Linked DNA regions of Elephas maximus indicus. The protein of the gene in region 1 purifies or fractionates together with the protein of each later gene. This does not show direct contact. Links are inferred from orthologs where the notes say so. Each region holds a gene or a part of one and is shown on either strand. Other genes may lie near its edges.

What was found. The genes of interacting proteins can lie anywhere in the genome.
Region 2: the proteins of RRS1 (region 1) and NIFK purify together in Homo sapiens (affinity purification with mass spectrometry; 3 studies listed by BioGRID and IntAct, counting the BioPlex papers as one, with this or other methods). This does not show direct contact. The link is inferred for Elephas maximus indicus from reciprocal best matches to the Homo sapiens genes RRS1 and NIFK.

What each region holds. Positions count from the first base shown.
Region 1 is NC_064833.1:76,193,529-76,201,528, reverse strand, and holds RRS1 (ribosome biogenesis regulatory protein homolog), read left to right. Parts: upstream 1-4,987; 5' UTR 4,988-5,092; coding exon 5,093-6,190; 3' UTR 6,191-6,714; intron 6,715-7,109; 3' UTR 7,110-7,663; downstream 7,664-8,000. UniProt on the Homo sapiens protein: Involved in ribosomal large subunit assembly. May regulate the localization of the 5S RNP/5S ribonucleoprotein particle to the nucleolus.
Region 2 is NC_064824.1:6,604,266-6,611,985, forward strand, and holds the start of NIFK (MKI67 FHA domain-interacting nucleolar phosphoprotein), read right to left. Parts: upstream 3,005-7,720; 5' UTR 2,946-3,004; coding exon 2,841-2,945; intron 1,689-2,840; coding exon 1,560-1,688; intron 1-1,559.

The sequences.
Region 1 (8,000 bases):
TCGGACTTCTCTAGTCTCTGTCAGACCAGTAAGTCTGGTTTGTTTTTTGGGGGTTTTGTGTGTGTGTGTGTGTGTGAGTTTGAATTTTGTTCTACATTTTTCTCCAGCTCTGTCCAGGACCCTCTATTGTGATCCCTGTCAGACTAGCCAGTGGTGGTAGTCCAGCGCCATCTAGTTGTGCTGGACTCAGTCTGGTGGAGGCTGTGGTAGTTGTGGTCCATTAGTCCTTTGAATTAATCTTTCCCTTGTATCTTTGGTTTTCTTCATTCTCCCTTGCTCCAGATGGGGTGGGACCAGTAGAGATATCTTAGATGGCCGTTCACAAGCTTTTAAGACCCCAGACACTACTCACCAAAGTAGGATGCAGAACATTTTCTTTATGAACTATATTATGCCAGTCGAGCTAGATGTTCCTTGAAACCATGATCCCTAGTCCTCAGCCCAGTAACTCAGTCCCTCAGGGAGTTTGGATGTGTCTGTGAATCTTCTATGACTTTGCCTTGGCCAAATTGTGCTGACTTTCGCAGTACTGTGCATTGTCTTACACTTCACCAAAGCTACCAAGTATCTAATAGGAGTGGGAAAGAAATACTTAGAAAACAAGCATAAGGAAGACTCACAGGACACATGATTAAAAACAGTTGTTTGAGGTCAGATCATGAACAGCTAAGACCAAGAACAATCATTGTTTTGTAAGGTAGAGAGGGAAGTTTTAGAGGAGAATGTGATTTGGCCAGATTCATGGAAGATAAACCTTCAGGACTGGACTGAAGAGAAAATGGAGGTAGGAAAATGTTAGGGTTCTCCGGAGACAGCATCTGGGGTATAAGGCAGAAAACGAAATAAACAAAAAAAAGTTGCCATCGTGTCGATTCCAACTCAAGAGAACCCTATGTATGTCAGAGTAAAACTGTATTCCATAGAGTTTTTAATGGCTGATTTTTCAGAAGTAGATTGCCAGGCCTTTCTTCTGAGAAGCCTCTAGGTAGACTTGAACTTCTGACCTTTCAGTTACACCACCCAGGTACTCCAGTGGAAAACAGCGAGCAGTCAAACCTGGCAACTGAAGAAAGATTAATAGAGAAAATATTTTAAAAGATGAGGAAAGGGTTTAAGGTAACCCACAAAGAATAGGGCAATAATAGTGGAGAGTCATAATCACCCCAGGCCTATAGGGCCAGGGCAGGGTCAGAGAAGCCCCCAAAGGGTGTCTGCACTAAGAGGGCTGCCTGATGGCACCAGAAAACCCACCAACCAACCCAGATAATTTGCAGAGGCCTGGATAAGCACAGCAGACCTCACTCTTCCCACTCTCTGATCTTCTGCCAATGCCTCCCACTGGCTGAACACAGTTGGAAGCCAGGGGCAGACAGCAGAGTGGAGAGAGGACCTGGAGAAGTAGACAGAAGAGATACAGTCTAGGGGGACAGTGGTAAGGTCATGGCAGCAGGAATGGAAAGGGCACAACACAGAGACAAATTTAACTGGACGTTCAGGCTGATTAGATTTGGAGATGGGGAAAAAAATTCAAAGATGACTTCATAGTTTCAAGCCCAAGTTACTAGGTGAGAATAATAACATCAACTGATCCTGTTTTCACCAACCATCATATTCCTCAAAGGAGTCCCTAGGTGGTGCAAATGGTTAACATGCAGGCTACTAACAGAAAGGTTAAAGGTTCAAATCCACCCAGAGGCACCTCAAAAGAAAGGCCTGGCAATCTACTTTTGAAAAATCAGCTCTCGAAAACCCTATGGAACAGATTTCTGCTCTGAGACAAATGGGTGACCATAACTTGGAAACAACTCAACGGCAACTGTTTTTGTTGTTTGGTTGGTTGGTTTAAAGATGTATTTCTAAGAACCATCTACACAAAAGTAGCAACTGAAAACATGTGAGTGAATGAAATGGCAGAGAGAGTGGGGATAGAAAAGAAGTCAGGTCTGAACAGCAAACTTGAGAACCATCTTCATTTACGGGACAAAAGGGGGAAGAAATCCAACAAAGGGGAAGGGCAACATGTACAACTATTGGCCATATTGTTTAAACATATTTGCACATTTCTGGTAGGGCTTTTTTTTCCCCCCTTAACACTGCACAGGTTTGCCTAAGTTAAGGATGACATAAGTGCAAGCTGGAGACCATCACTTACCCACATGCCTCAGCAAGATTATTTTTAAGCCCCAAATCGCAATCTTACTACTTTCACTCGCTTTGAATTTAACACAGCCAACATTTGTTGTTGTTGTTTTTAGATGTCATCAAGTCAATTCCGACTTATAGCAACCCCCATATGACAGAGCAGAACTGCCCCATAAGGTTTTCTAGGCTGTAATCTTTCTAGGAGCAGATGGCCTGGTCTTCTCTCCCCCAGAGCTACTGGTGAGTTCAAACCTCCAACCTCTCGGTTAGCAGCCCAGCGTTGAAGCACCGTACCAGCTAACGTTAATACTTTTCTTAATTTAGGAAAGCTTATAATTCTTATTCTTTCAATCAATCACATGTAGAGTGCCTATTGTGTATTCAGCACTATGCTGAGCAAAAACCAAAAACCAAACCCATTGCCATCAAGCCGGTTCCGACTCACAGCAACCCTATGGGACAGAGCAGAACCACCCCATAGGGTTCCCAAGGAGCAGCTGGTGGATTCGAACTGCCAACCTTTTTTGTTAGCAGCCAAGGTCTTAATCACTGTGCCACCCAAAGTGATAATGAAATTCAGCCTCCAGTCATCAAGGAAATTAAAATCCAGTTGGACTATAAAAAACAATTTATTAAAACAATTAGGGAATAATTCAGAACTGACCTATATGATCCAGACCACTTTTCATCCAGTGAGAAGTCATCCCATTCAACACCTGTACTCTACTCTTTTTTTTCCTGATCCCGAAGATTGACAGAGGAGCTAAATCCTACATAGCTGCACACCCTACTAAAGGCCCAATCACACTTTATATTACTCCTCTCTTACCCAGTGTTCCATAAGGTTTCAGTGATCTTTGTATCCAGTGACTTACACATAGTAGCCATTTAACTTAGTATGCGTTGAGTGAATGAATGAATCAGCAGCCAAGTCAAGCACAGAGCAGTCATATCAATAACCTTAACTCTCTCCTATGACAAACTGCAAAAGCTCTAAGGTTCAAGGCAGTTACCTAATGCGGCCTTTGATCTAGCCTTGGCCCCATGGAATGACTGGGAGTAAAGACTTAGTGCAGACAGAAAACCAGAAAATCCTCAACTTCTTTAATTTAGATAAGAGGAAGAAAGGACAGTCTAGTATAATGCCTGACACATAACCTGGGCTCAGTAAATGTCTGATGAATCAATGAACGAAGGAAAGGTAGTGAGCTCAAGAAAAGAGCAAACTCAGGGCCCACGTAGCGTGGGTGAGCTGTATCTAGGGCCCTCTATAGCTGAAACTCAACTGAGTCTGTTTCCCAACCACTTGTATGTTAATTTCTGCTGCTTCATTCTCCAGCATAAGCCTCCCTTCAGCCTCCAAATCTCGGTTAAAAAATAAATAAAACCTTTAGGTTACACAATCAGCAGTGCCTCGCAAACCTGGACGTGCATACTAATAATCATCTAGAATCTTGTTAAAATGAAGATTCTGATTCAGTCCATCTGGGGTTAGGCCTGAGACTCTGCATTTCTAATAAGCTCCCAAGTGATGCTATGCCGCTGATTAACCCTTTGAGTATCAAGAGCCTGGAACACATTGCAGACTAATGTATGTAGATACCTCCTGCTCCCACATTTCCTAGGTATATAACCTTAGACAAGTCATTTCACCTCTCCGAGTCTTCCTTTTCCATCAGTGGGCTAGGGTTAATAACAATTATAGCTAGCATTTATTGAATACTTAGTATGTACCAGGAACTAATGTTTCATATTTTTTAAAGTGTCATTATTTGACCCTTTTAACAACCCTGAGGTAACCTCATTTTGAGAATGTGCAGGGCTTAGAGACGTCATGCTTAGTAGAAAGTGAAAAAGGAGAGCCTCAATGAGATAGACTGACATAGTGGCTGCAACAATGGGCTCGAACATACCTATTATTATGAGGATGGCACAGGACTGGGCAACGTTTCGTTCTGTTATACATGGGGTCACTATGAGTTGGAACTTACTAGACAGCACCTAACAACAGGGCTTGAAGAGGTTATAAACAACCTGTCCAGGATATATGTAAACAGTAAACTCAGATCTGATCTTAGGTGATTTGACTCAAGAACCTGGTGCTTAACCGCAATGTAACACTGCCTCTTCAACTTACCTCCCAGAGCCATCATGAATATTAAATAATTAGCTTTAGGCTGACATGCATTGACCAGTTCGCCCATGTTCCAGGGCCTAGTCTAAGCCTCCCTTGGGGCACATTAGCTTATTTAGCTTCCTAACAGTCTCGCATCTTACACGTTTTAAAATAGGCCCAGACAAGTTAAACAGAGGAAGGTCAAACTGCTCCTAAGTGGCAAATTCGAGACGTCCCTGGTGCTCTTTAGCTAAAGCCCCGGAGCTCTGAAGTACCAGCCATCTGCCCGCTCCCAAACCGACCCAAACCTTCTTCTGCACTTAGCTCTACGTTTATCTGTGCGATGTGTCCACACCTAGAACCTGGTGAGCGGATTAGGGCCCAAGAACAGCTGGGTGGCTACAAATCTTTGCAAGATATTTAACCTGAACTTGTAACACCGTCGCTCCGGAACGCCCTTCATCTCCTGCCCTAGCAATTGGCCCCGCCCCGAGGCCCCGCCCCGAGGCCCCCACCCGCAATCTCGGAGCCGCGGTCCCAATCAGGCTCTGGAACTTGTAGTCCGCGCAACTCGTGCCAGCTCCGCCTACATCCGGGCGCAAGTCGAACGGCCCTGCCTCTAATACCATAAACTCTCCAACACCGCCCTCTGCCGGCTTTTGGGGAAAGGTCACCCAGACGGCAAGCCGGTTCCGGATGCTCCGGAAGTGAAGCTTTCTTTTCCGGACCGAGCATCTGGGCGTCTGCACGTGGTTGTTTTGCCGGACTTGAACCGGCGCCGGCGGAAAAGTGAGTTCAGGCTCAGCCTCAGAGCTAGTGAGCTGAACCAGAGCCATGGAGAGTCAGAGCGTGGAGGAGCTACTAGCAAAGGCGGAGCGGGACGAGGCAGAAAAGCTGCAGCGTATCACGGTGCATAAGGAACTGGAATTGGAGTTTGACTTAGGCAATTTGTTGGCCTCAGACCGGAACCCCCCAACGGGACTGCGGTGCGCGGGACCCACACTGGAGGCTGAGCTGCGGAGCTTGGCGCGGGACAACACGCAGCTGCTCATCAATCAGCTGTGGCAGCTGCCCACGGAGCGCGTGGAGGAGGCGCTAGTGGCACGGCTGCCCGAGCCCACCACGCGCCTGCCTCGCGAGAAGCCGGTGCCCCGGCCGCGGCCGCTTACGCGCTGGCAGCAGTTTGCGCGCCTGAAAGGCATACGACCCAAGAAGAAGACCAATCTGGTGTGGGACGAGGTGAGCGGTCAGTGGCGGCGCCGCTGGGGCTACCAGCGCGCCCGCGACGACACCAAGGAGTGGCTGATCGAGGTGCCTGGCAGGGCCGACCCCTTGGAGGACCAGTTCGCCAAGCGGGTTCAGGCCAAGAAGGAACGGGTGGCCAAGAACGAACTGAACCGGCTGCGTAACCTGGCCCGTGCACACAAAATGCAGCTACCCAGTGCGGCCGGCATGCACCCAACTGGACACCAGAGCAAGGAGGAGCTGGGCCGCGCCATGCAAGTGGCCAAAGTCTCTACCGCTTCTGTGGGACGCTTCCAGGAGCGTCTGCCCAAGGAGAAGGCGCCTCGGGGCTCCGGCAAGAAGAGGAAGTTTCAGCCTCTCTTCGGGGACTTTGCAGCCGAGAAGAAGAGCCAGTTGGAGCTGCTGCGAGTCATGAACAGCAAAAAGCCTCAGCTGGACGTGACGAGGGCCACCAATAAGCAGATGAGGGAGGAGGACCAGGAGGAGGCCGCCAAGAAGAGAAAGATGAGCCAGAAGGGCAAGAGAAAGGGGGGTCGGCAGGGCCCTGGGGGCAAGAGGAAAGGGGGCCCGCCCCACCTGGAAGGGAGGAGAAAAGGGGGCTTTGGAGGCAAGATTAATTCTGGGCCTCCTGGCTTGGGTGGCAAAAAGAAGGGAGGCCAGCACCAAGGAGGAAAGAGGAGGAAGTAATAGTTTTCACCCTTGGGTCCCCTCTGTAAACCAAAAACTATGCTAAACGTTAAACTTAAAGTAGCGGGATGCACAAGAAAGTGGCAGCTGCCTTCATTGAACTTGAGGTTAAAGGGACAGTGTTGCCCTCCCTTCAAGAGGGTATTTTAAGTGTTGGACTCTACAAATGAGTGTTATTCCTGCAACGGAGGGTTTGGCTGGAGTTTAAAGGACGCGTTTGAGGGCATCAGAATTAGGGCAAGAATTTGATGGACAGTGGGAATGAGTCTATTCTTAAAACAGCCTTTTTCTTTTTAATGTTGGCTATAGGGCAAGAGAGAGTTGGTCATATATCAGAGACTTACTGATTTATACGTTTCTTCATTTTTATCAAAGCAAAGGGAAAGGAAAGATTACAAACATTTTCTCAAGTGGGCTTTAAAGTAACTATTTTAAAGGTTATTTAATAAAGCTGTGTCTGTATCCAGTGTTACTTTTAACTTCTTTTGGTAGAAATCAAGTGAAACCTGTCATCTGAATACCAGGTATAGAATCTTTTTATTCATTTTAGAAAAAACACAAAGCAGCTATATTATGGTTTCAGAGAGACCACTTTAGTTAGAAAAACTCATACTTGTTTTGTTACCAAGTGTATTGAAGGTGTACAACAGATGTTTGTTTGAAAAAAAGATATTAAGCTTTTTCACGCTTTGAAAACTATTGGTTCACTGTAAATATAAGTGTGGGCGTAACTAAATAATGCTAATAATCCTCATTAATCCAGAAAATATTTAAAGTTTTCTGGATATTTAAGTCCCTAATTTGTTTTTCTTTTGGTTTATTTTCTTTTGTTTTTAGCTTCATGTTAAATAGGGTACCAGAGAAAGAGACCCACAAAGTCTTTAATTGGATCATTGTTATTTTTTGTTTTATCTGTCAGATTGACCTGAGCTGGTTTGATTAGAGGAGTCCCTAGGTGGTTCGCTCAACTGCCAAACAGATTTGGAGTTTTGAGTTCACCCACAAGCACCTCGGAAGAAAGGCCTGGCCATCTGTTTCTGAAAAATCAGTCATTGAGAGCCCTGTGGAGCACTGTCTGCGACACACAGGGTCGCCATGACCAGAGTTGACTCCTTGGCGGCTGCTGTGGTGGTGCTTTGATTAGAAGGGAAAATGTTTATGGCTGTCCTGGTGTACTTTTCTGCCCATCAGTCTCTTTCCCTAATAAAGATCTGAAAAGAATTCATAGTTGATCTAAAACCCAGGGGCACTTTTGTGCTGCTGTAGAGCAAAGGGCCACCCAGCTGTTTTTAGTCTGACAGTTGATAGGAAAAGGGAGAATTTGTCTTTCAGTTTTTCTGTGTAGTCTCTTACAAAGGTACTTGTAGAGGTTTCTGTGAAAAAAAAATCAGATTTCATTGTCGATGTGTAACGGTTATTAAAAACAAAGACGTTCAAATGTTACTGTCTTCAGATACTTTCTGATTAAATTAAAGGTGGAGGTTTTTGGTTTGGGCCATCATTAACCAAGTTTTCCCCTGAGAATGATAGGAACATGACACTGTTAAGGTCTTTCAGAATACAGTGTGATTGTGGAAAGTTTTAGCTAAGATCAAGTTAAACTATTTAATGGTACCATGAACAACAACATCAAAAACCAAGCAGTTCACAGTATTTGCTAATTTAACACCTTTTAAGTTCTTCCCAATTGTCAGGGTTTTTTCAGGTTTTGATTTCAGGCGTTTTTGATTTGGCAGTGGGATTCTAACACTGGCCCGTAAAATAGGTCTCTTGGGCTTTTTGAAAGATTATTGTTCACTGATAAAACAGT
Region 2 (7,720 bases), on another chromosome or scaffold:
ACCTTTCAGTATGGATTGCACCTCAACATAAAGAAAACAAAAATCCTCACAACTGGACCGATGAGCAACATCATGATAAACGGAGAAAAGACTGAAGTTGTTAAGGACTTCATTTTACTTGGAATCACAATTAACAGCCATGGTAGCAGCAGTCAAGAAATCAAAAGACAGATTGGGTTGGGTAAATCTGCCGCAAGGGACCTCTTCAGAGTGTTGAAGAGCAACGACGTCACCCTGAAGACTAAGGTGCGCCTGACCCAAGCCATGCTATTTTCAGTCACGTCATATGCATGGGAAAGCTGGACAATGAATAAGGAAGACTGAAGAAGAGTTGATGCCTTTGAATTGTGGTGTTGGTGAAGATATTGAATGGACTGCCAAAAGAACGAACAAATCTGTCTTGGAAGAAGAGCAGCCAAAATGCTCCTTAGAGGCAAGGATGGCGAGACTGTGTCTTACATACTTTGGACATGTTGTCAGGAGGGATCAGTCCCTGGAGGACATCATGCTTGGCAGAGTACAGGATCAGTGGAAAAGAGGAAGACCCTTAACGAAGTGGATTGACACAGTGGCTGCAACAATGAGCTCAAGCATAACAACGACTGTAAGGATGGCGCAGGACTGGGCAGTGTTTCGTTCTGTTGTGCATAGGGTTGCTATGAGTCAGAACCAACTCAACCGCACCTAACAATAACACCAAATCTTAGGAACAATTGTGTGGATTCTGGAGTCCAATTGCCCACATTTGGATCCTGCTGTGATGCTTACATGGGTAAGTAACATTTAAGCTCCCTGAGCCACAGTTTTTGAATCTATAAAACTGGGATGATAAAATAACCATTCTCACAGGATTGGTATAAAGACATGGAATAATCCACGGGAGCTCAACATTATGTCAGTTAAGTACTCAGTAAATGTTACAGGTTATTAAGGCCAACTAGAAAGGTTTTACAATCTGGCATTAAATATTTCTGGATATGAATAAAACTCGATGATACGATTCTGGAGATAAGAAACCACTTAAAAGTTGCATGGCTAACAGACTGGGAATCAGCAGGTTCATTTCTAGCATCAGCTGTGGTGTAACTTGCTACCTGGACAAGTCCACAACTCTGAGTCTCAGTTTCTCTGCAGGGGGATTTTGGTAAAAATTAAAATGCCAAACCTATCTCACAATCCCAACTCTCAACAGGGAGGAGACAGATGGTGGAGGAGTGGAAGGGAAACCCTGTGAAATCCCAGTCAATTTACCACCACTGTACACAGATATAAACCTTTTGAGAAATGATCTGAAAATACTTATCATATGGCAAAATATTAATCCTTTACCCAACAATCCCAAGAATGCTGGAAACACCAAGCAAACAATCCCATATGTGACAATGCTCTGTAAACTATCAGTAAATGTTACCATTTATTAGGGCCAACTAGAAAAGTTTTACAATCTGGCATTAAATATCTTTGGATATGAATAAAACTCGATGATATGATTATCAAGGCTTATATACATATATTTGAAAAATAAGATAAATAACCTAATTCAATTTTAAAAATTTTACCTTTTTACTTCTGGACAATTTGAGTCTTGTAACAGTGCCAAACTGGGAGAAATATGCCTTGAGCTGGGGTTCAAAAAGGCCTCGAGGTATGTGGCCCACATAGACTACTCCAGGAGTAAGTTTTTCTTGCTAAGGATAAAAAGATCAAGTAAATATATATACTTTCAAATTAACAACAACAAAATGACATTGCAAGAAAACCCCCAGGTTTAGGTTCAACAAAGATGCCAAGAATGACCATGTATTTCCAGTTATTACACCTGTAATTAAAGAGTTAGTGGTTTAATGTCTATCTCCCCAGAACAATCATCAAGCAGACAACATTCTTCTCAGTTTCATATCCCACCACACTGTAAGGACTACAAAAGTCTATACTGGATCAACCAATAAACAAATAAACCTCTGAACACGTCGTTTTAAATTTCCTGCCCAGAGAACTTGCACAAATGTCCCCTTCAATTTTTTAGGCATACCACTTACTCGCACCTAATCGAAGAGATTCTAGAAGTCTGCTAACGTTCACAAGGAAAACTGAGCATCTCAGTTACCACATACCTACTTTTTAACAAGAGCTTTTAATTAGTTTCCCGCCCCGTGTATTTTACGCTGAAGGAGCCCTGTTGGCTCAGTGGTTAAAGCACTAGGCTGCTGCTCTGGAACCCACCAGCCACTCTAGGGGGAAAGATGTGGCAGTCTGCTTCCGTCAAGAATACAACCTTGGAAAACCTATGGGGCGGTTCTACTCTCCTATAGGGCCGCTATGAGTCGGAATCAACTCGACAGCAACGGTTTTTTTTTTTTTTTTTACGCTAAAATCAAAGCAAATATGAAGCTGATGTCAGGAGCCACAGTCAGCAAACAGACTTTGGAAAAAGCTGTCTTTTAAAAGAACTGCAAAATCACCAAGCGAGCACAGAAACCTACCGAGTGGTGGGCATGTCTGGGACGGGAACCCCATTTTCGCGGGAAAGCGGAAGCGGGACGGCTCTAACCGCGAGTTAGCCGCAGTGCGGGAGGGCCACCCCACCAGCTGGCGCTCTCTTCCTCCTCCGGCGTCACCCGTACCTGCCCGTGACCTCCCCGTCAGGGTCCCAGGCCCGGCCGGCTCCGGAGACAGTTCCTGAGTCAGTCGGGCGCCCACCTGGGGAGACCCCGGGAGAGCGGAGGCCGGAGCAGGGCAGGCGCGCCGGACAGAGGCTCGGGCTGGGCTCCGCGCGAGCTGAGGCCGCCGCCGCCCGTCTGCCGCCACCCCTCCCGGTCCAGGCCGCGGCGGCCGCTCACCTGGGTCGCGCGCCGGCGGGCCTGCGCCACCTGCTTCTGAAACCTGGCCTGGTCCTGCGGGTTCAGCGACAGGAGGGGCTTAGCAGGGCCGGAAAAATCCGCCATGTCCAACACACCCCAGCACAGACGCTCCACGCGGAGCTCCCGGAAATGCGAGGCCGTCAGCTCCCTCGAAGCGGAAGTGGAGGCGGGGGGCGGGGGAAGGGGTGAGGCGAGGCTTATGCCGGGGCGGAGCCCAGGCCGGACGCGGAGAGCTCGCGCGCCCCCTGCTGGCGCGCCGTCACACACCTTCCACCTGGCTAGAATGGCAGATGGTCGGTCACTTGTTCGGTTGAGCGGTGGTCAAGGCTCGGCTGCTAACCAAAAGGCCGGCCGTTCAAATCCACCAGGAGCTCCTTGGAAACCCTATGGGGCACTTCTACTCTGTCCTGTAGAGTCGCTATGAGTCAGCCTCGACATGACGGCAACGGATTCGAGTGGCAGTACAATTTTATGGGGGAATTAAAAATAAACTCCAAAACAGTATCATTGTCCTTGCCGAAATATGGCTTCATTCATTTACTCTTTCTTTTTTTTTTTTTTTACTCATTTGTGGTTTTGGGCCCCTGGTACATGTCCCTGTGTTGCTGCCTTGGGGAACTTAGAGCTTGGGGGCGGGGGTAGGACAGAGAGACACGTGGGGGAGGGGGAGGGGGAGGTGCCGGAGAGACGTAAGAGGCTGCAGGGGAGAGGCGGGCCAGGAGGGCTCCTGCAGCGGGCATCTGCGCGGCGACCCCAGCTGCGGTGCGGACCGGAGCACAGCGCCCTGTCAGTGGGGTTGGCATCCGCCGCTGTGATTGGAGCCAAGGAGCGAGGGAAGGTGGGCGTGAGGAGGTGCGATGCGCGAGGTGAGCAGGCGTAAAGCTTGGGTTTGATTTTAAATGCAGGGCGATGTGAGGGTTTTAAAGCAAGGCTGTGGCTATTATGAATTTATATTTTAAGATTTGTCGTTGTTAGCTGCCATCGAGTCAGCAACTTACGGCCACCCAATGCCCAAGGGAATGATCCATTGCAGATAGGACCTGGTGTGATCCATAGGCTTTTTACTGGCTGATTTTCGGAAGTAGATGGCCAGGTCTTTCTTCCTAGTCCATCTTAGCCTGGAAGCTCCGCTGAAACCTGTTCAGCAACACTGACAGACGGCCGGTGGCTCGCGTGAGGTGCGCTGGCCTGGTCTCTAAGTGTGGACAACAGGTTGCAGGAATCAGGCAGTGGAGGCTAAGCACAGGTCTAACCAGAGCTATTCTCCAGATAGGGGGCTTTGTGCCCTGGAACTAGTACGGGGACCCTGGAGGGGTGTCTAGTGACAGTCGCAGAGTGGGAGGGGGAACCACACAGGGCTGGCCAGCTGCTTCCTTTGCCAGGAGGCACGGCGTCCATGCCCTTTGCCCCCTTCCCTTCAGCCACCCTCAGTGCTCAGCTCCATGTCCCCCTCAGGGAAGGCATCCCAACCTGAGCTAGGATCAGCACGCCCTTTTGGACACTCTCTCTCATCACTGTGTTTGCATGGACAGGCCGGACTTTTGGGGCCCAAGCAGCAGAGGGCAATTTCATTCTTCCTCAGGAATGCTCCTTCTCTGAGCTGGCTTCTCCTCTCCCTGCATGAAATCTTGGGGATAGCTCATCCTTCCTCTGGTCACTCCTCAGATAGTAGTCAACAGAAGCATTTTCCAGGTGTTCAGAATCCAGTGTTAAATTCTCCTTACCTGGTGAGCCTGAGGCTGAGAAATTCTCGGCTGTGTCTTCTTTCTTGTGCCCTGGGTATAAGTTGGGTCCTCTGCAGGGCTGGAACAGGAGAGAGCAGAGGGAGGGACAGGAAGGGACTATGTGACTGGCAGGTGTCGGGTGGCCCAAGAGCTTCTGGCTGCTGGCTCTTTCCCTACAAGGGCACTTTTTCATTTTTAATTGTGATGAAGTATATATAACATAGATAATGAGCCTGGTGGCTCAGTGGTTAAGAGCTCAGGTTTCTAACCAAAAGGCTGGCAGTTTGGATCCACCAGCTGCTCCTTGGAAACCCTATGGGGCAGTTTTACTTTGTCCTGTAGAGTTGCTATGAGTCAGAATTGACGTGACAGCAGGAGGCCACGGGTCATGTGCAACAAAGCACCTGCCTTTCTGCCCTCTGTACATGTACAATTCAGCTATTAATTACATTCACCATGTTGTGCTACCATCATCAGTTTCCAATTTTTTTCTTCAGCTTTAACTCAGGGCCTTTTAAGCAATAGTTCCCTTCCCCCCCCCCGCCCCCCCCACCCAGCCCAAATGCCCCTGCTAACTACTTATCTATTTTGGTCTCCTTTCGTTTGCCTGTCCTAGATATTTCATGTAAGCGGGATCAAACAATGTTCGTCATTCTGTGACTGACTTACTTCACTTTCTGAATGTACTTTTGAAGTGGTCTCTGCCTGGTTGCTGTACTTCCAGGGGCTCTTCTTGGGAAGGCCTTCCTAAGCTAACCCTGGTCCTGATCCTTCAGTAAGGGCTCTCCAAACACAGCCTTCGCTTTCTTTGTGCCGCTGCCGGGCAGCCCTGGCTGGTCCCAAAGTTTGGTGCATAAGGCAGGAACAGATCTCTGAATCCTCCAAATTCCAGAGAATGAAAACCAAGCTCTCCATTTCTCTAAAGACCCCTCCCTTCGTGTCTGTGTGTGTGAGACACCCCCTCCTTTCCCAGAATGGGGCTTGGGGGAGGAGAGAGGAGGAAGGGAGCAGGGAAGGGAAGACAGCAAACTGAAGTTTCTCTTCCAGCATAGCCTCCCTGTTTCCCCACCACCTCCACGAACTCCTGACCTCCCTTTGCATCCATAGGAGTAACTCAAGGTTGGGACACCTGCTGCCAGTTTGTTAGCACAGTGCTTCTCAGACCTAACAAAGCATGCAATTACCTGCAGATTTGGCCACGGGGCAAGCTCTGACCCAGTTGGCATGGGGTAGGGCCTCAGGTTCTGTGTTTCTAACAAGCTCCCAGGTGGGTCTGATGCACCTATTTCTTAAAATGACCTCTGAGCACTGCTTTTGCTGTGTCCCAAAGGTTTTGGTATGATGGGTTTTCATTCTCGTTTGGTTCTAGGATTCACAAAAAACTTTCATTGCAATGTTATTTATAATAGAAAAAACTGGAAACAACACAAATAGCCTATGACAAAAGACTGAGTAATAAACATGGCGTGTCCATTCAATGGATAAACACATTAAATATGTCTGCATTTCAAAAATTATCAAAGTAAAACTGGGAAAATGTTTTCATGTGACAAGAATGTCTTAGTTTTCTAGTGTCCTAGTACAGGTATAACAAAAAATAACACAAGTGGGTGGTTTTTTCTTTAAAGAGATGGAAAAACTAATCTTTATACAGATAAGTAAAACACTATTGAAGAAGAAGAATAAAGTAGGAGGACTCGCACTACCTGACCTCAGAACCTACTGTACAGCTACTGTAGTCAAAATAGTCCGGTAGTGGTACAATGACAGATACATTGACCAATGGAACAGAATTGAGAGCCCAGATATAAATCTATCCAACTACAGTCACCTGATCTTCGACAAGGGCCCAAAGTCCATCAAATGGGGAAAAAACAGGATTTTTAACAAATGATGCTGGCAAAGCTGGATGTCCATCTGCAAAAATATGAAACAAGGCCCATACCTCACAGCATGCACAAAAACTAATTCAAAATGGATCAAAGATCTAAATATAAAACCAAAAACTATAAAGATCATAGAAGTAAAAATACGATCAATGCTAGAGGCCCTACTACATGGTGTTAACAGAATACAAACCGTAACTAACAATACACAAGCTCCAGAAAATAAGCTGGATAACTGAGATCTTCTAAATATTAAACACATATGTTCATCAAAAGACTTTACTGAAAGAGTAAAAAGAGAATCTACAGACTGGGAAAGATTTTGGCTGTGACAAATCTAACAAAAGTCTAATCTCTAAAATCTCCAGGAAAAGCCAACCCCTCTGCAACAAAGGAAAGACAAAAAATCCAATCAGAAAATGGCCAAAGGAAATAAGCAGACACTCTACCAAAGAAACCATTCAAATGCCTAACAGACACATGAGGAAATGCTCGAGATCATGCACCATTAGAGGAAAGCAAATCAAAACCACAGTGAGACACTGTCTCACCCTGGTGTTACTCGTGCTAATCAAAAAAACAGAAAATAGCAAATGTTGTCGAGGTTGTGGGGAGATTGCAACTCTTATACACTGCTAGTGGGAATGCAAAATGGTACAACCATTTTGGAAAACAATATGATGCTTCCTTAGAAAGCTAGAAACAGAAATACCATATGATCCAGCAATCCCACTCCAAGGAATATATCCTAGAGAAATGAGTCATCACAAGAATAGACATATACACACCATGTTGTCTGCAGCATTATTCACAATAGCAAAAAGATAGAAACAACCTAGATGCCCATCAACAGACGAATGGGTAAACAAACCATGGTACATTCACACGATGGAGTACTATGCAATGATAAATAAGAATGATGAATCTGTGAAGCATCTCACAACATGAATGAATCTGGAGGGCATTATGCTGAGTGAAATAAGTCAATCACAGAAGGACAAATATTGTATGGCACTGCTACTGTAAAAACTCATGGAAAGGTTTATACACAAAAAAGAAACAACCTTTGACAGTTATGAGGGAGGGAAGGAATGGGGATGGAAAAACACCAAACAGGCAAGTGGTAACTTTGGTGAAGGGTAAGACAGTACACAATACTAGGGAAGTCAGCACAGCTTGACCAAGGCAAAGTCATAGAAGCTTCATAGACACATCCAAACTCCCTGAGGGACTGAGTTACTGGGCTGAG